Linked DNA regions of Pelodiscus sinensis. Each later gene encodes a partner of the first gene's protein in a complex. Links are inferred from orthologs where the notes say so. Each region holds a gene or a part of one and is shown on either strand. Other genes may lie near its edges.

The links.
Region 2: the proteins of PAWR (region 1) and SPSB1 are in contact, whole or in part, in a crystal structure (PDB 2JK9), measured with the Homo sapiens proteins. The link is inferred for Pelodiscus sinensis from reciprocal best matches to the Homo sapiens genes PAWR and SPSB1. Residues at the interface, in NP_001341661.1 of Homo sapiens: Glu68, Leu69, Asn70, Asn71, Asn72, Leu73, Pro74; in NP_079382.2 of Homo sapiens: Arg77, His78, Pro79, Val80, Ala81, Gln82, Gly110, Thr111, Tyr129, Val216, Trp217, Gly218.

What each region holds. Positions count from the first base shown.
Region 1 is NC_134711.1:70,681,998-70,693,137, forward strand, and holds the start of PAWR (PRKC apoptosis WT1 regulator protein), read right to left. Parts: upstream 4,414-11,140; 5' UTR 4,288-4,413; intron 4,180-4,287; exon of another isoform or gene 3,850-4,179; intron 3,481-3,849; 5' UTR 3,442-3,480; coding exon 2,956-3,441; intron 1-2,955. UniProt on the Homo sapiens protein: Pro-apoptotic protein capable of selectively inducing apoptosis in cancer cells, sensitizing the cells to diverse apoptotic stimuli and causing regression of tumors in animal models.
Region 2 is NC_134733.1:13,307,427-13,318,618, reverse strand, and holds the start of SPSB1 (SPRY domain-containing SOCS box protein 1), read left to right. Parts: upstream 1-6,974; 5' UTR 6,975-7,363; intron 7,364-9,723; exon of another isoform or gene 9,724-10,521; intron 10,522-11,192. UniProt on the Homo sapiens protein: Substrate recognition component of a SCF-like ECS (Elongin BC-CUL2/5-SOCS-box protein) E3 ubiquitin-protein ligase complex which mediates the ubiquitination and subsequent proteasomal degradation of target proteins.

The DNA.
Region 1 (11,140 bases):
CAAGTTCAGATACCCCAGGCCTCAGAGCTCAATCCTACAACTTCTACACAACTATTTTTAGCAAGATATCGTGAGACCTGCTAGCACAGGTTTGAAGAACCACACTAGAGTGCTCACTTCCAGATGTGGTATAGACATGTCCGAAGTCTTTGGAAAACTGAAATGCTTGGGTCTAAGTAACATCACTGGAATTTATATAGCAAAATCTGGCTGAAGTGTAATGGCTTGTGATATACACATGAAGAATAAGATGGCTCCCTCTGATCTTGAACTAATGAATTCTTAGTGCTACATATACTCCTATTTTAAAATGTTAATGGAAGACTTTCAAGAAGTTGGCTTGATCACAAAAAAAAGTCAGTTGTATGTAAATGTTTGCCTGTCGAGATGTTCATCACAAATGAATTCTGCCTACAAGCCAGAACTTGCAAAAATAAAAAAAAACCAAACACACTCCCTCATATCTGCACTGCAGGTTAAGTACTTTATATTAATGGTGGTAGCTACATGAAATGTTTGTTATAACATAGATATTAAAAAGAAATCAGTTTCTTGGTCAAACTGTATTTAATTAAAAAACAAAACAAAACAAAGACACTTACTAGCTATGGAGTTATTCGAAGTTTTAAGACAAAACATATACAATGGCAAAAATGTCATTAAGTTATTCCTAGGAGTGCTGACACACAGTGACAGATTTTGCAAAGTTATTTGTAAGGAGACAGCAATAGAAAAAAACCCGATCCCCTAAGTTAAGCAGATATTGAGGGCCAAATGGGAAAACTGGAGCTGATGGTCTCTGTTGAGTAGAGGACAAGCACAGTGGCCTCAATCCTTTATTAGTAGAAGATAAAGAAGCAGGCTATGTTAGTTGTTCCTGACAGGAGAAATAAGCCCAACAGAAGTAGCAGAGGAAGCTCTAAGCCATTGCTTCTCCAAGCTTAAGGGAGTGGAAGCAAGCAGCAGAAGATTCAGGTTCTAGAGAAAGGCAGATGGGGTGGGAGCAACTATATTTGGGCACAAGGAACGGACTAGATAAAGTTATTTCTTTGCAAACGTGGCACTTCATTTAAATAGGTGTGGTAGTGCTGTTATTTGTCACACAGGCAATCAGTGGCTTTTAAACTTTTTTCTCATGACCCAATTGAAAAAAAATTGTTGATGCCCATGATTCAACATAATTATGTCTTGACTTAAGTGCTGGCTCTGAATTGGGGCTTTGGATGAGAGGCCTGGTGTGTAGGAGGGGGCTCTGAGTTTGGGGGGCACTCAGGCCTGGGACAGGGAATTGGAGCATGGGCTTCCCTACAGCAGCTTCCTGCCTCTCCTGGCACCACAGACTTTGCTGTGTCCTGGAAGCGGCTAGCAGCAGGCCTGTCTCCTAAACGGATTTGTGCAAGCAGCCCGGCTCACTGCTCTTGCCCACAGTTACTAGTTTTCAAGTGTGAGTTTCCTCATTTTCAAGAGTGTGAGTACTTGGGATTCAGTCCTGCAATCCTTCACTTTAAAGTGCAGGCTATACAAGAAACAAGGCTAATCACTTAAGTCAAAGTTGTGGGAGTGAGCCCTAAAACAGAGTTTTTATTTAAGACTTCATTTGTTCCTGCTGCTTATTCCTCACCAGACAATACTTCTGGTTTTACAAGTTAATATGTCATCACAAAGAAAGGATTATGACTTCAGGAGAGGAAAACAGGATTTCATCTTCTACTGCACAAGACACAAAAGATTGTTTCTCCCCCTCCCTCCATGCAGGCACCCCTAGTAGAGGAGAAATATTTAGTGATATACATGTTATCTAAAATAGTGTTGCCCTTTATCATCAATATAAAACTGAAGAATGCAATTCAACTTTGTTTTCAGTCTCCTCTAGCTTCATAAAAAAAAAAAAAGCAAATGGTTTTGTTATCATGCTTCTGAATTCCTTTAAGAGTTTTTTTAAATGAATGCCAGATTTTCATGCTAGTAGCAAACCACAAAGAACAGTTGTGTTGGCTGATAAAAATATTCATCTCTGCTCCAAAAAAATGCACTTCAAACCACTGCATTTTTTCCAAATACAGGAAATTGTTTTAGATTAAGAAGTGTATTTACACCTGAATATTTATCCAGAGCTTAATACCATGATTTCCTTTCTTCGTTGTTCAGAACACAGCAAAGTGACTAACACAAACTTATGTGTTAAGTTTAATCATATTTATTAATGAAATTCGAAAGTAATGATATGACAAAAGCAACAGAAAATAATCATTGAAATTACCTTTGATAAAAGATCGCCACAGAGTCGTGAGAAACCAGACAAAAATTAGGAGGGTATTTTATATTACAGAATACTTTGCAACTCCTCTAAGGCACACACACTGTTTCACGTCCTAGTTTCAGCCAAGGCACACTAAATTAAGAAGTACGGTTCTTGTTTTAAGAAGTGCTCAATGATATATTCATTGCTGTTCCTGTCAATGTTCACTAATCCTTCCTGACTAGAAGCCCAAGCCCAAGCCTGCAGCCATACAAGCATCACAACATTGGACTCAGACCCAGCCCACCCCAAAGTGTTTGGAGCCGGAGGACTCTTGTCGGTAAACTCGGCGTTTAAATAGGGGTGGGGGTAATGAGAGGACATCCCTGGCCCAGTACATCCAAATCCCGCCAAACTCTTCCCAACCTCAACCCCGTAGCTTCGCCACTGTCAGGCCTATTGTCCCAAGAGAGGTGCAGACATGAGGGACGAAGCGAAACAGCAGCGCTCCCGCGCTAGGCAGTTTAATCCCCGCACCTCACCCCGCGCAGGAGGGCACAAGCCTCCCTGGCGGCAAGGAACTGGAAGCAACACCAGTTGCTCCCGGGCGGGGGCGGGACCGGCGGGCAGCGGCGCTCACGACTCAGGTGCAGCGTCTCAGCCGCTCGCACTAGCGCTCCCAGCACCCCTAGCCCGGGCAGCGGCGCGGGGCTCACCTCGGCGGCGGGGATGTTCACCACACCTGTGGAGCGCCTCTTCTCCCGCAGCTTCCTCTTCTCGATCTGCCCCTTCCCCTTCCTGGAGCTGGGACCGGAGCTTTTCCCCTTGGCCGCCGCCGCCGCCTTCTCCTCCTCCGGGGAGCCGGGCGCGGCGGGGGGCTTCCCTGCAGGCTCCGCCGCTCTGCTCCCGGCTGGGACCGGGGGCTCCTTGGAGCCGGCTCTGGCCGGGAGGGGGACGCAGTTCAGGCCCCCGCTGGGGGAGGGGGCGGCCCGCTCCGGGGGGTGCGGCGGGGCGGCCGGGCCGGGGGCGGGGTGCAGGCTGCTGTTGAGCTCGGTAGCGGAGGCGGCGCCCCCGGGCGCTTTGCCCTCTGCCCCGGCCACTGGCGGCGCCTGCTTCGCCCGCATCTTCTCCCGCTTGGCTTTCCACTCCTCCAGAAAGTCCGTGGTGCTGGCCCCGCTGCTCCGGTAGCCGCCGGACGCCATGTTCCCAGCGGGGCAGAGGGGCGGCCCGGGCACCACCGCCTGCGGAGAGCACCAGGGAGTCAGCCCCGCCCCCAGGGAGCCAGCCCGCAGCGCCCCGGGCCAGCGCCGCTCCACGAGCGCCCCCCCCCGAACATCCCACTCACCCCCCCGCGGGGATCCCCTCTGGACCCCAGCGACCCCCACCCCCTTCCCAGGACAGCCCCGTTCGGTTCCCGCCAGGGCTCACACCGCACCCCCCGCAACCAGCCCACAGCCCCGCCAACAATCCCCCGGGGGAAGCGCCCCCTGCACGTCACCCCTCTCCGCATGCCAGAGCTGCGAGCGCCCCGGGGATAGCGCTGGGCTAGTCCCCGCTGCAGGGGGGCAGCCCCGGCCCCGCAACCCCCCGGCTCGGGGCCGCGCTCCTACCTCGCCGCTACGCAGAAAAGGACCCGCGACGCTGCCCGCCCCGGCTTCAGGTGAGTCGCGGCTGCTGGCGCTGCCCCACTCCCGGAAGGAGCTGAGCCGCTCCGGACTTTGCCGGGCGGCGGCGAGCGCAGCCGAAGCGCGGACGGAAGCGGCCGAGATCTCGCTTTAACAATGGGGTGCGAGGGAGGCGGGGGGAGGACCCGCCCTGCCCGTGCCTGGGAGCGCGGCGTCTGTCCTGCCCGCAGCGCCCGGCCCAGCCACAGGTGTCCGGCCAGGCAGCGCGCACGTGGGGGGCCCGGATTCTCTGCGGGGCCAGTTCGAGCCGTAAGCATCGAGCGCTCCGGCCGCTGCGCTGGGCGAGGGAGCGTGAGGAGCCCGCTGTGCCTTGCAGTAACTAGAGCCCGCTCCCCCCCCCCCGCTGAGATGCACAGTTCTCACCTAGCCGGAGATCAGGCACCGTGGTTCTTGAAACAAGGCGAGTGCCACCCACTCGAGGGTTTGGCTAACCATCCGCACAGCTCCGAGACTAGCCTCTCTCAGCCCCTCCCAAGCTCTTCCCTCAGCCAGGAGCCCTGAAAAACGCAGATGGGAAGGTATCAAGCGCCTGTGCACAGCACCTTGTACAATATGAACTTGTGGTAGAAATGTAGCTTTGTTAGTCTGGTGTAGCTGAAACAAAACACAGGACTATGTAGCACTTTAAAGACTAACAAGATGGTTTAATAGGTGATGAGCTTTTGTGGACCCAGACCCACTTCCTCAGATCAAATAGTGGAAGAAAATTGTCACAAACATGTATGCCAAAGGATACAATTTAAAAAAAAGAACACATATGAAAAGGACAAATCAAATTTCAGAACAGAAGGGGGAAGGGGAGAGAGGTAAATGTCTGTGAGCTAATGGTATTAGAGGTGATAATTGGGGAAGCTGTCTTTGTAATGGGTAAGATAATTAGAGTCTTTATTCAAACTTTAGTGTAAAGTATCAAATTTAAGCATGAATGATAGTTCAGAGGATTCCCTTTCAAGTGCAGTTTTAAAAGGCCTTTGAAGCAGGATGCAGGTAATCAAGTCATTGAGACAATGTCCTTGCTGGTTGAAATGGCAAGAAACTGTTTTTTCTTTGTGATCCTGTCTAATATATGTTTTGTGGGCATTAATCCTTTGGCGAAGTGTCTGAGACGTTTGTCCAATGTACATAGCAGAGGGACACTTTCGGCACATGATAGCATAAATTATATTTCTGGATGCGCAGGAATATGTGTTCTTGATCTTATAACTCACTAGGTTAGGTCCACATATTCACTCGGCTGATACCATTATTGGACCTAACCAACTTATTTTAGCAGGTGCAGGCATATAGGAACGATGGGACTGGGGAATGTGGGAGCATGATATACAAGTTTGTGTGCCTAACAAAAGAAATCCAGATACTGTTACCTGGGACTGAGGAAGTTGTCATCCATCTCTTTCCTATCTTGTTCAGATTCCATTGCTAATTTGTTCTTCTGGTTAATAAAACTCTTAATGGATTTTAAAATGGAAACTTTTGGAGAGTGGAGGTTCACTGTGTATTTAGCACAATAGAGCCCTAGACCCTGACTTGAGCCTCTAGGCATTCCTACAATATAAATAATAGATGTAGACCATGGTTCAACTTTAACCTCATGTACATCTATTCCCTGCTCTCCTCTCCAGTGTTAGCACTCTGTCACCTGCCCATCAGTCAATGGCCCTCTGGTCATTTAATTCATTTCTAACTTTCACACTCAGTGATAGTATTTTTGAAGGGAATATGTGAGGAAAAAAGTTCTCACTTCTCAGACTAGAATGATTCCTGTTACATTTTTCACAGCAAAGCAATAGTTAAAATCATACTATTTAATCCTCTGGTATAATTTGGAAAAGTTTTAATAAGCTGGATAGTAACTACAGAAGAGTTAATTCTGCACCAGCACGGACATTATTTATCATTGTATGCACTCAACAATATATATGTACTATAGTTTGAGATTTTTCTAATTACCATTTACCAATGACATTTTCATTAAAAAATAATTTTGTTTAAATCCTCTCAAAAAAGTTGATAGTTCTCAGGATTAGGTTTTTTTGATCTGAGGTTTTGTTTTGTTTGGAAAGGGGATTATTCCAAAGTTCATAGAGCTATCAATTTTGAAAGTGATTGAAATTTAAAAACAGTAAAATTAACACTCTCTCAGTTGAGTTCTTTATTTATGTGGCAGATATTGCTTCCACTGTGTAACACGCCTCCTTACAGTACACAAAGAGAAAGATGCATCCAACCCAATACCAATTCTCCAATTGCCCAAACCCCCCAGAATTTCTAAAAACAGACCTCTCAAAGTGTTCTTTGTAGTTTATGGCATACACTATTTTCTACCCTTTCTGGGCTGTAGCTGCATCAGCCACTGTTGGATGTTTTTGCTTCTCAAAAAATGTTGGATTTTTTTAAATGCCAAAAAAGTCTCTGTGACCCTCGCAGTCTGTTATTTATTAACAGAAGTTTTGTGGTGAGGTTGGTTTTAGTGCCCAATGCAAAAATGCTGACTATCAGATGTTTGCATCTTAATAAGGGTGTCTGTGCTGGTGAGCGTTCAGGGATAAAGTCCTAAATAGTTTTAAGTATCACACTGCATGTTTTCCTCAGCCACAATTGGGAGAAACTTACTAAGTAGGAAAACATTTTCAGAGCAACCCTTCCCTTCTAAAATCTTAAGCATTTATTTTCAAGGCCTAGAAATGCTCTTTTAATAGTTAAGTTTAAAATGGTGTGTAGGCAGAGGCTCCTAAGACCTAAAATGTGGATTTTACATAATTATACTCAGTAAGAGTTTCTTCTCCTCAGTTAAGGATTTGCAAGGCTGATTTTGACTTTCCTTGTGAATCATAGAATACTAGGACTGGAAGGGACCTCGAGAGGTCATCGAATCCAGTCCCCTTCCCTCATGGCAGGACCACGTACTGTCTATACAATCCCTGATAGACATTTATCTAACCTACTCTTAAATATCTCCAGAGATGGGAGATTCCACAACCTCCCTGGGCAATTTATTCCAGGGTTTGACCACCCGGACAGGAACTTTTTCCTAATATCCAACCTAAACCTCCCTTGCTGCAGTTTAAGCCCATTGCTTCTTGTTCTATCCTCAGAGGCCAAGATGAAGAAGTTTTCTCCCTCTTCCTTATTACACCCTTTTAGATACCTGAAAACTGCTATCTTGTCCCCCCCTCAATCTTCTCTTTTCTAAATTGAACAAACCCAATTCTTTCAGCCTTCCTTCATAGGTCGTGTTCTCTAGACCTTTAATCATTCTTGTTGTTCTCCTCTTGCTCCTCTCCAATTTCTCCACATCTTTCTTGAAATGGACACAATACTCCAACCAGTGCCTAACCAGTGCAGAGGAGAGCGGAAGAATGACTTCAAAAAACAATAAACACTCATGTTATAATTAAATATGTATTGTTAAACACAATGCAGGACAATGTAGCACTTTAAAGACTAACAAGATGGTTTATTAGATGATGAGCTTTCGTGGGCCAGACCCACTTCCTCAGATCAAATAGTGGAAGAAAATAGTCACAACCATATATACCAAAGGATACAATTAAAAAAAATGAACAAATATGAAAAGGACAAATCACATTGCAGAACAGGAGGGAGATGCGGGGGAGGGGGGGGAGGAAGGAAGGTAAGTGTCTGTGAATTGATGATATTAGAGGTGGGGAGAGTGGGATGTTTGTGAGTTAATGGTATTAGAGGTGATAATTGGGGAAGCTATCTTGGTAATGGGTAAGATAGCTTGAGTGTTTGTTCATTCCTTTTTGGAGAGTGTCGAATTTTAACATGAATGACAGTTCAGAGGATTCCCTTTCAAGTGCAACCATTATTGGACCTAACCAAGTGAATTATAAGATCAAGAACACATATTCCTGCGCATCCAGAAATATAATCTATGCTATCATGTGCTGAAAGTGTCCGTCTGCTATGTACATTGGACAAACATCTCAGACACTTCGCCAAAGAATTAATGCCCACAAAACAGATATCAGACAAGATCACAAAGAAAAAACAGTTTCTTGCCATTTTAACCAGAAAGGACACTCTCTCAATGACTTAACCACCTGCATTCTGCTACAAAGACCTTTTACATCTGCACTTGAAAGGGAATCCTCTGAACTGTCATTCATGTTAAAATTCGACACTCTCCAAAAAGGAATGAACAAACACTCAAGCTATCTTACCCATTACCAAGATAGCTTCCCCAATTATCACCTCTAATACCATTAACTCACAAACATCCCATTCTCCCCACCTCTAATATCAATTCACAGACACTTACCTTCCTTCCTCCCCCCCCCCCCCCCCCCCCCCGCATCCCACTCCTGTTCTGAAATGTGATTTGTCCTTTTCATATGTGTTCATTATTTTTAATTGTATCCTTTGGTATATATGGTTGTGACTATTTTCTTCCACTATTTGATCTGAGGAAGTGGGTCTGGCCCACGAAAGCTCATCATCTAATAAACCATCTTGTTAGTCTTTAAAGTGCTACATTGTCTTGCATTTTGCTTCAGCTACCCCAGACTAACATGGCTACATTTCTATCATTGTTAAATCCAGTGTGCTTTTTTGAAAGTTGGGAAAATTTAGTATGTATGGTGTGAAATTAAGCATCTTTCTATTTTAAAAGTACATAAGTTGTCTAATGTTTCTGTGTCCTAGCAGCCCAAACAAATTTCCTGATCCCCCAAAATTACACACACGTGTAGCTTTTAACATAGACTTATGTAATGAGGCAGATTTCAAGGATAAAATAGTAATATTAAAGAAATTTACTTTATTATCCTAATTAAGCAAGGCCCTATATTCAACTTCATGGCATATCTCTATTTGTCTGCTACGCACAACTTCCCAAACCCAGTGAAAATCCTCATTGCTCCCACAAATCTTTCCCACTACGATGTACCCTTCCTGTACCCTATCACCTTTAGGAAACTTTTGCTAACCCCACCATTACCACCACCTCTGTCACACACATTTACTATCACTGTTCTACTTTATTTCCATGGTCCACTCCACCCACCTTACCTAACCCTCCTATGAAATACCCACTCTCTCAGGGTTCATCTCCCTGCCACTTCTCCTCAGCCTCACTTCACCTAATTAAATTATCCTACTATCTTCCTTCCCTGCTGCCTCTTCCCCTTTGAAAATCCTCCTGCTGATGTTCTCTGTGTTCCTCCCCCAGGTATAACCAGTACAGCTTGTTTCCACACTACCCCTATGAAACACCCTACATAACAATCGACAGTGAAATCACTTCAAACCCATCACACTGAATCTACCTTCCCACCACTTCACATTTCCTTTGCTGAGTACTCCTCAAGTCCATTACATCAGACCACTCCATGGTGTGTCTAGACTACACCTCTGTCGACAGAGAGATGTAGATTAGGCACATCGAAATTGCTAATGAAGCTGGGATTTAAATATCCCATGCCTCATTAGGATAAACATGGCCACCACTTTTTTTCTACATGGGGTTTTTTTTTTTAAAAAAAGGCAGTCTAGACGCAGATCAGTGGAAAATAAAGCCTTTTTCGACAGATCCTGTAAACCTCATTTTTTGAGGAATACAGGATCTGTCAAAAAAGGCTTTATTTTCGACAGATCCACATCTAGACTGCCTGGGCAGGAGGTTGAAAAAAAACTCAATTTCGAAAAAAAGCGGCAGCCATGTTTATGCTAATGAGGTGTGGGATATTTAAATCCCAGTTTCATTAGCAATTTCAACATGTTTGATTTGCATCCCTCTGTCAACAGAGATATACAGTCTAGATGTAGCCCCAAGATGCCCACTGTCTGAGCATTCTCCTACTGCCAGTAAGTCACCGTCACTATCTCATCTCAGGCCACATCTAGTAACAACCTTGCCTCAGATCATCACCACTTGATGAAATTTCATCAATCTCCCTAGTGAAATACTTCCTCCTTCAGTCCTTGCCCATGAAATTCAAACCCACTGTATCAATTCTTCTTCCCCATCCTTCCCCTTGCTACTATCTCCATCCTTGTAAAATACCCCCACACTGCACCTCATCCTCCCACAAAATCTCAGTATTGCCTCACCCATTCATGCTGCTGCCTCCACACCTCAGCTAAAATCCTACCCTTGCCCTGCCTCCACACTGCTACTTCTCTTTCTCTATCTCAGGCTCCTCTTGCTAATGTTCATCCACTCCTGCTCCTCATGGCGATACTTATCTTCTCCTGCACTTCAAGCCCCTCACCCTGCCTCACTAAGGTATACACGAGACTTTAACCTGGTGTGATGTGTTTCCAAAATGCTCATTTATGCCCTCCTCTTCTGTCTCAGTTCTGTTACTCAGAATTACCTTTCTTTGACTGTAACATAAGTCAGAAGAATTTCAAAACTTGAGGCCTTATCGATAGAACTTGAGTATTTCCCCTTGCACTCTGACTTTAGTGGGACTCTTCGTATGTGCAGGGATTTATTGTGTAGTCTTGGGGCTTGAAGAGTAACAATGGAGCAATCTTCTATGGGAGAAAGTTGACCTAAGATATACAACTCCACTTAGTAAAGCTGGAGTTAACATTCTTTAAGCTGACATATCCACTGCGGAAGGTAGACAAGAGAAACTTTCCCATCAACTTCCCATAAATCTCATGACCCGATGGAGTACTGGGGATGCCACCAGAAATGAATTTAGTGGGTCCTTACTAGACCTGCTAAATCAAACCCTGTGAGATCCATCTCCAGAGAGTTGCTCTCGGGCTAAGTGAAGACAGGGCCTGATTGCCCTCTAGCCAAACATACATTCCATCTCATTAGCAGGCTTCCTACTTTTCAGATACATTAATATTTGTCTTTACATTTGTAACTGTTTGTTCTTCAGATTCCCTCTTAATTTCCATTTTACATCTTCTCTATCAAAGGGTAATTTCTGTTCTGTTATTATTTGAGCTAGGTTACTTTTTGAAAAGATTATTTTAGTGTGAAAATCTCCTATTCCCATCCCTGCCATTTAATATGATATTTTTCTTGCCTCTTGTTCTTATAGGCATATCATCTATGACTCTGGTAAGACACACTTAGGCAGCCTACATGATTATATGGATTTTCATTTCCCATTTTTCCCATTAAGTTGTTACTAACTCATTTTTTATTCTTGAAATCCCTCTCCTGAAATTTAGTGTTACAGTACTTACCTACTGATAAGATTTCTCTTTACAAGGACCTCAAACTTAA
Region 2 (11,192 bases), on another chromosome or scaffold:
CCCCCATCTTGTATCATTGAAGTGAACATGCTGCACCTGCTCTTGTGAGTCAACTGTATGTATCCTGCTGCTTTGAGTGGACGGCTGAGCCCTGCTTAGAGGGTGAGTCAATGGAGCTCTGCATCCCTACAGGAGTGGGCAAGAGAGTTGGTTAATTGCACCATCTTGATCACAGTGTGGTTGCAGAAGTGTAAATCAGAGGAACAAGCCCATGTCTACAGAGCCAATTGCCTCATCTGGCTGATGTCTTCTCTTGCATTTTGTCCAGGATCAGAGGCCGAATACGAAGAACAAGAATATTCTTGAAAGAAAGCATTAAGTACGTGCTAATAAAGTGGAGTTTACAAGAGGCAGCCTGGAGGCAGCATGGCGCATTCTCATGCAAAAGACATCTAAGTTCTTCGTCAGAGCAGGGGCTCATTTTCAGCATGTTGGATCAGACAGCCATTATGGAATTGTGTCCTGTTTCACACATGAACTGGTGCCGCCTTCCTCCTTCCAGACTGGTGCCAACTGCTTTACCTTTGGTCTTTCTAGGCAATTATCCTTTCAAACTGGGGAAGAGGGGATGGTTTTGTGGTTATTTAAAAGCCAGACTGGGCCTCAATTTTCCAGTCGGATGCAGGCTGTATAGTACCTTGGATGTGTCATTTATTCTGTCAGATTTAAAATAATACTTCTTTACTTACCAGGGATAAAATGTGCTCTCTACAGGGTAAGGGAGGGGGCATATAATGCACCAGTTTACATTTTGGAATGGGTTTAAGGGTTTGCCCCATGTAGAGTGTATTGTAACAATATAATCTTAGTGGCCCAGATCCTTAAAGATATCCAGGTGCCTAACTCCCATGGGCAGAGTCCCTGTATGGATACAAATTTGTAGCTGCATCCAATCTGTGATCGATCACACTGGTTCACAAGGCAGCATGGGAACATGTTAGGGCAGAGATGGGCAATAATTTTTGATGAGGGGGGGGGTCGCTCCAAGATTTTGGTAAGTGGTCAAGTGCCGCACTTTTCTATGGAGGGGGTGCAGGAGCTGGACTGGAGGTTAGGTGCAGAAGGGAACTCGGGGTAGGGGACTGGGGTGGAGGAGAGGGTGTGGGGTCTGAGATGGAGTTTGGGTAAAGGAGTTTGTGATCTGGGGAAGGGGTTTGGGGGAGGGGTATAAAAGGGGGTACAGGGTCTGGGAGGGAGATGTGACCTGGGGGAGGAGGGGAGGGAGGGAAGGTGAAGAGGGTTTGGAGTTGGGGCAGGAAGAGCTGGTGATCTGAGAATGAAGGGAGGGAGGGGCTGGGGTGCCACAGGTAGGTTGTGGCTGGGAGGCACTTACCAAAGCAGCTCTTGGCCAGCAGCCTTGCAGGACCCTGAGGCAGGCTCCCTGCATGGCGCAACCCCAGGCTGCTCAAATAGTTGGCTGCTCCCTGTGGCTCTCTGCTTTGAGTGCTGGGGGGGAGGGCCAGTTTCCACAAAGCCTTCCCCTCCCCTTGGTGCCTGGAGCTGAGTGTCACAGGAAGCAGCCACCTGCTTAAAACAGCCCGGGGCTGCTCTGCAGTGGCTGGCTGTTCTGTGCCTGAGCGCCCTGGTGGGAGATAAGGGAGGGAGCAGGCCTGTGGTCTGGATCCAGCAGCTTGGGTATGACCCATAGCAGACCTATGGGTCTGATGCCCCCTGAGCAAGAGCTTTTCAGTTCATCCAGGAGCCAGGTTCCCCTCTCTTGTGCTGTTGCCACAGCTGTACTTCCCCTGGCGCACAGCACACATGCAGTGAAGGGGGGATTTTCCCAACCCCTAGGGATAAACATCTGTAAATCCAGATGTTTGTAGGCTCTGTGAGTGACAGGGACTTGACACCTCAAGGAATGGGTGGGAGGTCCATGAAGATTTGATTTCTAGCTCAGTGCATCTCAACCCTTTTTTATAAAGTACCCCTTTAAAAAAATGATCAATATCCCCAGTATCTACAGTTTTCAGATGCGCACAATTTTTTTCTACCATTGCAACACATTTGTTTAAACAACCTAATCATAGCCAGGCGGGCGATGAAATTTTTGGATGTAAAAAGGACAAAAACAATAAAGCGCTATAAAACTTAAAACAAAAATTCAGTTTTCTCCAAATTTCAGTTGTATTGACGTATCCCCACTCCCCCCGACTTCTCTCAACTACCCCAGCCTAAGGGTACTCGTACCACTAGTTGAGAAACACTGCTCTAGGTCACCAGTGTGACCCTGGCCAGGAGGTAGTAACAGTTTTAACCACTTGATGGCTGGTGGGTGGCTTGACGAAAGGAGGTGGTAGGCACTTAGCAGATATTGTAGCAGTATCAGCAGAGTCCAATAGAAACCTGCTCAGGGGCACCTGTGGGACCTCTGCATCAGGTTTGCAGGGAAACTTGCACTGCAACTGATCCTGCTGTGCCTATTCCGTGAGCCAACCAAAGACCTCAGTCCTGGTCCAACACCCTTCAGAAAGATGACATTTCAAAAACAAATTAAACAGCACCCAAGGAAGACACAACAACAGCTTTTTGAGTTACAAGGTCATTTCAGCCTATGTTTACCTCCTGTAGGCTATTCATTACACGAAGACCCCTTGACATTGGCCTGAAAAACAGCCCTAAAGTTGGCATAATATGTAATTTAGTGGCATCTACACAGCCAGACTGGTGTACAGAAGCCTCAGGGTAAATGAAAACTAGAGTGGTCTTGATCAGTGCTCCTCATCAGCTGTGTGCTTGGGTGGTCACCCAGGAGGGATACAAATGCCGCCCAGCTGACTAGCAGAGTGCACGTAGCTGCCCACAGCTGGCAGCATGTGTGTCTATCGCTGGTACACATTAACACATGCCTCAATGCACATAAAATTTATTTTACACACAGATGGGAAAAAATTGAAGCGATCATTGGTCTTGGTGTTTCTAAGCACCAAAATAAAGATAGTCACAGCCCTGTCACAATGTTCTGAGCAGAAATTTCTGCATGGAGTTGTGTTATGCACACGGGGCAGGAAAAGAGACACACGAGACTTTAAGAGCTGCAAAGAATTGATTGACAGACAAAGAAAGATTTACCCAGTGGGCTGTTACTGCACTCCTGGCTGAACTTAGAGCTATTTACACGGGCAAAATTTTGCACTTCCTATTCATTCCTTTTCCAGGCAAAACTCCCACTGATTTCTGCTGCTTGTGGATATGTGGGGCTTGAGCCGCCACCTGTTCAAATAAAAAGTATAGTGGGGAAAAGTGTGCATGTAGGATTTTCAAAATGGTTCAATGTTGTCATTAAAATGAATGGAAAACTCCTATTGACTTAAATGCCACCCTGGCTATATATCTTTCATATTTGTTTCTCCCTTTTCTTTCCACCAGTATAGTGTGTTAAAGGATTTTTGTGCTTTATTTTTAAATTCCCAGGGGGTACTAGGGAATTTTTAGCTACTAGACAGCTAAAATAACTGTCTTAATGTCCTGTAAATCCAGGGCTGGCCTTACCATGAGGCGAACTGAGGCTGCTGCCTGACTGAGAGTGGTCACCTCTAGTTCACACTTTTTGAACAAGGTATTTTAAGTTGTTAGGTCTCCTTTGTTGGGGTCAGTAGCAGAGCAGTGCCATGAGAGGAGCAGAACAGGAAGAAGGCAGAATTGAGACCTTTCAAAGTTTTGGCCCAAGCGAGGTGGCATGGGGGCATCATTTGAGCTCCCCGCCTCAGGTGCCAAAATGTGGGGCTGGCCCTGTGTAAATCATATGTACTATACAGTAATTCCTCATTTAACACGTGCCCGCTTAACACGTTTTCGCGATAGCATGATTTTTTTTAGGGAATGTCTTTTGAATTACACGACCGTCCCTGGAATAACATGGTTTCCTCAGCCAGCCCATTGCCAGTGGCTGCGCGGAGCTTCCCCTGCCTCCCTACAAAGCGGCAGAGGGTTCTCCACTCGCCGTGCCGTTCCCCGGCAACCCCCAGTCACTGGACGCAGTGCGGGTCCCAGCAGACCCGTCACAGGGGCATACTCCCAACCCAATCCCCCTCTCCTCTACTCCCCTTCCCTTCCCCAGAGCCAAACACCTCCCCTCCCTGCTGTAACCCAGTCTCCTTTCTCCCCCAACCTTATGTCCCGGTCCCAACAGACACCACCACTTGAAACGCAACTCCCACCTTTTCCATTATTTTCAATGGGAAAATTGACCCTGCATAACACGTTTTCACTTAACATGATCATTTTCTGAAACATATCTATAGTGTTAAATGAGGAATTACTGTACTCCTAACCTCACCTAGTTATCATGCAGTAAAAGCTATAGTGGCTTGTCGCCACTAATATTTTATAGTGGTATAGTTAAAGTATGCTAGTTATCCCATGGTGAAAACTCACCTTTTTTGCAGTAAAATGTTGTACATGGAAATGGAAAGGAATACCCTTACTTGCTTCTGAACTTGAGCCATCGCTAAAAAGAGCACAGCAACCAATGTTCCCTGTAAGCTGCGTACTTGTGCAGCCACTCAGGAGAAATTCAAATGCTGCCCAGCTGATTAGCAGAGCTCCCACATCTAAGTGTTGTGTTGCTATTGGTGGTGCACATTCGCACATGCCTCGGCGTACATAAAAATGTATTCCGCACACGAATGGAGAAAATCTGCACATGAATGGAAAAGATTAAAGGGAACATTGACAACAATGCTAACAGGAAAGAAAATTTTCTAAGTAAAACTGCATTAAGGTAGACAGAACAAGAACACAATTACTCAACTTGAGTTGTGGAACTCCATTTATCTGACGAAGTTGGTTGTGTCCACAAAACCTCACGATACCATCTACATTTTTTGTTAGTCTCTAAGGTTCTGTAACACTTTTTGTTGTTTTTTTTAAGTTCCGGTTACAAACTGACACGGCTACCCCTCTGTAACACAACTTGAGTGTGATTCTCAGTTAAATGAAGGATCTGCATAGATGAGAATCAGACCCTTTCAATGTAGAAAGCCATGAGGACTAACAGTTTTTCTTAGGAAAAATATCATGGGATTTTTAATGACTGCAGTGGTCAGGACCTCATTTGACTGTCTCAACTTAAAACTACCACCTTCAGCACCATAATGGGCAATGTTCCCTCTACGAGTTTCCATTTATGTGCAGAATAAATATTGTTATGTACACCAAGGCATGCACAGATGTGCACCACTAATAGAAAATGCATGCTGCGGCTGTGGTCAGCTGTGGGCACTCTGCCAGTCAGCTGGGTGGCACCTGATTTTCTCCTGGGCAGCTGCCCAAGTGCTCAACTTACAGGGAACACTGATGATGAGGCACTAGTTCAATACTGACTCGGATGGTGGAGTGTCACTTGCTGAATCATTTATACATCACCTACATGGCCATTGACTATGTCCTGTTCAATACTGATCAAGTTCAAGTTTGCTTAGCTAATGAGAACTCATAAGTTCACAACCCTAAGACTTTTTGCTTGGGAACACTGAAAATGTGCTTCTTAAAATGAGACCATCAAATCAAATTTGGCCCACAATTTACTTTTTTTTTGCAGATCCTAAAACCAATACAATTGTTTTCTTGACCTATTTCTTAATTAAATAAGTTAAAAAAAAATAAATGTTCCACTTAAGTGTTTGCGACAACTAGACAGGGAACAAGCAAAAGTGGAACTTTTTGCGGGTCCACAACTAAAAAGAAAGCATATAAATAGTAGAAAAATGCTTTGAACATTAATAACCCACGGTGTTATTTGTAACAAAGGTACAGAATTAGATGAGTTGATTTTTACCTCACCAATGCTGACAATTCTCCTAATCATATTTGGTATTTTTCTCAAAATCCCAACTCCTGTAATCATGGGCGTAGGTGAAGAGCTTTTTTTTAAAAAAAATGCCTTCATGGCTAGATTGAAAAGCTTGAAAACATATCCTGAGTGTACCCTAAAGTGTCAATAATAATAATTTTAATAAACCAATAAAAATAACTGATTGTGTATTAGTTTTAAAATCTTACAATTTGTAAGCCATTTTTCTGATTTTATGGGGCCTGACTCAAGGCGTCTGAATGCTTGGGTGTATGCAATGCATGTAGCTCAACTTCTGCCACTACAAATATCCTAAAGAAATTAGTGGAAGAAGGGCAGCTTTGAACCTAGGACCTCAGGGGCTGTGCAAAGGAACCTCTACAGCTTGAGCTATAAATTCCGGTGGTTTTTAGCTGAGTCAGTGGTATTCACTCATTCTTATCTCTTGCAGCACCTGGTCTAAGTGCCACTACGTGGGACAGTGACCCACACCCACTAGGCAGGTGGGTTACATAAGGGTTCGCAGGATCTAGGGCTTCGGGTTGCAAGCCCTTCAATATCTGTTTTAAGGCACCTACTACAATGGCCTTTGGACACCATCACAAGACAGTAATCATCTGGTCTTCCTTATTCTTACGAGCCTCCTACCCTGTGCGGCTGCTTGCCAGAGATTAAAATGCAGCTTCATCCGGTTGGCTGAGCCCTACAGGTAGGTTTTGTGCTTCTACTAGCAGTGCACATTCCCACACGCCTGCCGGCACATACAAAATTATTCTGCACATGGATGTCAGGGATTGAAGGGAACACTGCTTCCTAGGACTCGCTCCTAACCCCCAATTCATAAAAGCATGGCAACGTAGAGCTGGGGGAAGGGCCTTTGAGACCATGCATTGAGGCAGGAGCAAGGAAACCCTCCCAGACCACGCCTGGCAGCTGTGGGTGCAACTCGTGCTTCCAAGCCTCCACTGAATGGGGATTCCCGCCTTGGCCTCCTCCAGCACTGAACGACCCTTCCTCCGAATCAAAGGGTTCCCCCCCCGAAACGCCCCCTTCCCAGCTCAGCCGGGGGCTTTTCTCCCGTCTCTCCAGGGCTGCAGAAGCCGAGAGGAGCCGGGCAGCGGTTTCGCTGGTCCCGCCTCCCGCGAGAGGAGGGGCCGGGAGCGGGGAGGTGCCAAGCGGCAGCTGGGAGCTATTTGAGCCATGTGATGCGGCCGGCCCGAGCTCTTAGCGTCTGGCGCCCGGGAGGAGCCCGGCTCTAGCCGTGAGAGTGTCCGGGGGGGAGCCGCGCGCAGCGGCGGCGGGAGTTGCAGGGGGCCAAGGCGGCGGTGGGTGCTTGCAGCCGGATTGGCGTGCACGGGGTGGGGCTGGTTTCCTCCACCTCGCACCCCGCCGGCGCTTGGCATCCCAGCGGGCCTGCCTGGGGAGGAGACGCGCCCCGAAGAAACCTGCCCTCCCCAGCCCGCAACGCGCGCCCCGGAGGCCCGCGGAGCAGGGAGAGAGCCCGCCCTCGGCCGCAGCCATGGTCCGCTGCCGCGTCCCGGAGCGGTAGGGAGCAGCCCCGCTTGCATGGTAAGAAGCGGGGCACTGGAGGGGCAGGATGCGCCCGTCCCCACGTGCAAGGGAGGACGGTGCGGGGCTGGCAGAGACTCCCCCGGGCGCCTTTTCCCCGCAGCTCCGAGCGGGCACCGGGCTGTTGTGCAGGGCGCTGGCTGGTTGGCGCGGGAAAGGAGCAGGGGGGGGGGCGAGTGGGTTGTTTGCTCCCCCCGGGTGCTGGGGAGGGGCCTGCCCTGTTGCTGGGGGTTGGGGATAGGGTGTATCCGGAGGGGGAAGGTTGAATAACGTGGGCATCCTTCGGCAATCTCAGAAAGCCATTATCCGCCCGGGAAAGGCCTTTGTCCCGGCGCGCAAGGGGTTAATGGAAAGTTGGCGAGGGACCGGTCCTCTCTTCCCACCTTCTGTGGCTTCGGTTTCCTATGTAGCGGCCCACACTCGGGTAGAGACAAGCACAGCGCTTGTATGCCGGCCCCGTTCTCTTCTGCTCTCTTCCCCCCCCCAAACATCCAGCTTTCCTGGAGCTCCCACCTGATGGAGACTCTCCTGAGAGGCGGAATTCATTCGCCAGCTCCATCCTCTCCTACCGCCGACAGTAAATTCTTTTCTCCACCTCCCCACTCCTCCAACCCGGGCTGGATCTGTTGTGCAAACGCTGGCTGGTGAAAACTGAGTTATGAAGAGGATTTCTCTCTCCTCCCCGCCCTCCAAGTTCAGAACGAAGATATTTTTTCCCCTCCTTCTGGTAATTTGACCTAGTTCATGCACAATTAAAAAATCACCACAAAAATAATAAAACAAATAAAACTCAGATTATTCTCAACTTTATTCCCTTGTTTGTGCCATTTTAAAGGAGCTATTATAGCTGAACTGCTCTGTTGTAGCATCTTCCCCTCAGGGTAACAGTAAATGGTAGGGGCCTTTTCATATGAAAATGAGTTAAGATTATTGGCCACTGCCAATTGTCACGGAGCTGTCAGCTGGGGGCCTGAGCAAGTGCTTTATTTTCTTTATCAGAAAACGAAGTAATTGGCATGCAAGGAAATGTTTAACGGCCAGAGGTCATCTGTTATTGCTGTGTGTGAGAATTTGAAAAGTAAATCTCTGAACATTATCAGTGTTTGAACTAATTAAGGAAATAGGTTTATTTAACTGTATGCATTATGGTGCTGCTTTGAACGGTCTTTGGAATACACCCTGTAAGTCTCATTAACATGGTTATTTTTACTACATGGTCATCTTAGTGGTAGAACATGACTTCAGCCTGGTCCTAAATAGTTGGTGCCTGCTCTTTCCATGACTGGATACTCAAGTTCACAATATAGTCAATTTCTGACACCAGGTGAGTGAGGTAATATTCGACCAATTTCTATTGCTGAAAGTTCAAGACCGTTTTTGAGCTTCCATAGAGCTTTTTGTTGGCGCGTGTGTGAAGGATGTTTTGTAGTTTGTTTGGCATGTGCAGCTTCCAAACTGAGCCAGTGGCTAATCAACAACCTCACATGTTATGAGCGGCCCTAAGCTGGGTGTTCATTGTAAAAGATCTTCTGTCCTGTTCTTTTGGGTCAGACTTGGGGCTAGTTGACACTGGGAACTTGCATTGGCATAGTCGTGTGTCTCAGGGATATGAAAAATCCACACCCCTGAGAGACACACTTATACGGATTTCAGTATTTCCATGGACAAGGATGGGTCCACTCGAGAAGTTTGGGAGTGGGAGAGGTTTTCTATGATTGTTTCTAGTGCATTGTCTACACTTGAAAATAGTGTTTCAAGTGTAGACAAGCTCTATTTGATTTTAAATGGCCCCCCTCAACTTTCCTGAGTGGAAATGGATCTTTCCATTTCTGTCAGCAATGCAGGACAGAAACAGTGAGGGGAAGGGTTGATTTTTTTTTTTTAATTTGTTTATGCCTTATCCATTGTCAGACTGTGACCTACAGGTTCTGTAAGGAAAAAATACTGCTTAACTTGCAGCATTGCTGTAACCCTGTTGGTCCCAGACTATGAAAGACAAAGAGAGAGATACCACCTTTTTGTTGGCTTAACTTCTGCTGCTGACAGTGCAGCCCTGAAGAGCTCTGTGGAACTTGAAAGCTTGTGTCTTTATCTGTAACCAAGATAAGCTGTTCCAGTAAAGGAGACTGCCTCCCCCCCTTCTTTCTGTAACTTCTAAAGTCCTGGTCCTAGGAGTAGGGTTGTAAAATCCCAATTAATTAGCCCCGCAGGGCTGGAGCAGCCAGGGGGGCTGTTCCAGCACCCATTGGTTAACTAGTCAGCCTTTCACAACCTTTGAGCAGTCCATGTGCAGAATTCCCATTGCCTACAGTTGGTGTGTGTGTATGTGGGGGGGGGGGGGGGAGAATTGGGGTATGTGGCACTAGAGAATGAGATGGTGAATGACAATTGTTGATGGGAGAGGGGAGAGCCTATTCCTATGAAATGCACTGAGAATTAGATGGAGCCATTCCACTAATAATCTCAAATAAGGCTCTTTAAAGAAGGGATTTAAAAATGGATACATTGAAGACTTCCCTTCTCCCCCCATCTGAATGCCAAATACACTGAACTGCTTCATCAGTCTGCCTTGTCTTGTTTGGCTGTTGCAGCTTTATAAAGAACAAAGATGATTGATATATTAAGCTGTAACTTCCTCCTCCTCCTCCTGACCATTCGTGTCTGCTTGTTGTATTGCAGAGGCAGTAGGAGTGATAACTGTTTCACAGCAAAGTATTCCCTGGAGGGGGATTTGTACTGGTGCAGTTTGTCAATGACAGGTTTAGTGTGTTGTCTCTGTTTGTTCAGAGGTCACTGAAGTGCATTATAAAAGTGTTTGGGAGTTGGTTGGAGCCCATATGTTGGATGTGTCTAAATAGTGGCTTGGTTGTCCAGGAACTAATTTGCTGTAATGGCATATTATTCTTCTGAGGAGTCAGGTGGCTTCCCATGGATTGTGGACACACGCCGGAGTTGGTTTAACATTCAGGCTCCACCCCGCAGTGCTACACTTTAAAATGGGCTGGTCACGAATCAGTAAAGGCATTTGATTTGTCGTGGAGCCAGCTAGTACACCGGAATTCCTACGCCTACAGACTTGCTCATAAACTGCTGTCTGCTGTGGAGCTAACATTGCATATGCTGATATATTTTCAAGTTCGGGACTTGCATTAAATCCTGTAAGTTTATGTATTTTATTTTCATAGTTAAATGGTATTTAGAGGGCACTTTTATTTGTATTAGTGTGCGATTCATAGTTTGTAGGGGGGTAAAATTGTTTAGCATTTTTCCCCCAGAACTGGTCAGGAGGAAATCATGCATTCAACTTAATGTAACTATGACCAGAGGCCTTTAACTTTAAAGAATTGCAGTTTTGTCTCCATTTCTTCTATGTGGACTCTGGTCTAACACTACAGTGTATTGTACATCTTGTCACACTGTTCCACGGGTTTTTAAAAGTGAAATGAAGCATGGCTGAGAATAGTGTCCCTATTGTCTCGTAGCCGGGACACAGATGTGGGTTGCTTGTAAATGTACTGAAGATGTAGCTGATGGTTCAGATGCTGTGATGATGTTCATGCCCTATTGTAGCATTTGCAACAAAGATAATAGCAACAGCTACCAGTAGCTGCTGCTTTTGTGGGTGGTGGCAGGCAGAGGAAGGTAATACCTGCCTGTCGGGTTTCATGCGGTAGCCTGATATGGTGAGCAGGTCAAGTGCTGAGTGCTTACCTATGCTTGTCCTGCACCAGCTGCACTTACTTCAATGGCAAGTGGAATTTAATGAGGCTGGAAGCAGATTCTGACAACTTTAAACTAGGGATGTTTAACGGTTACTTGAATAATCAAG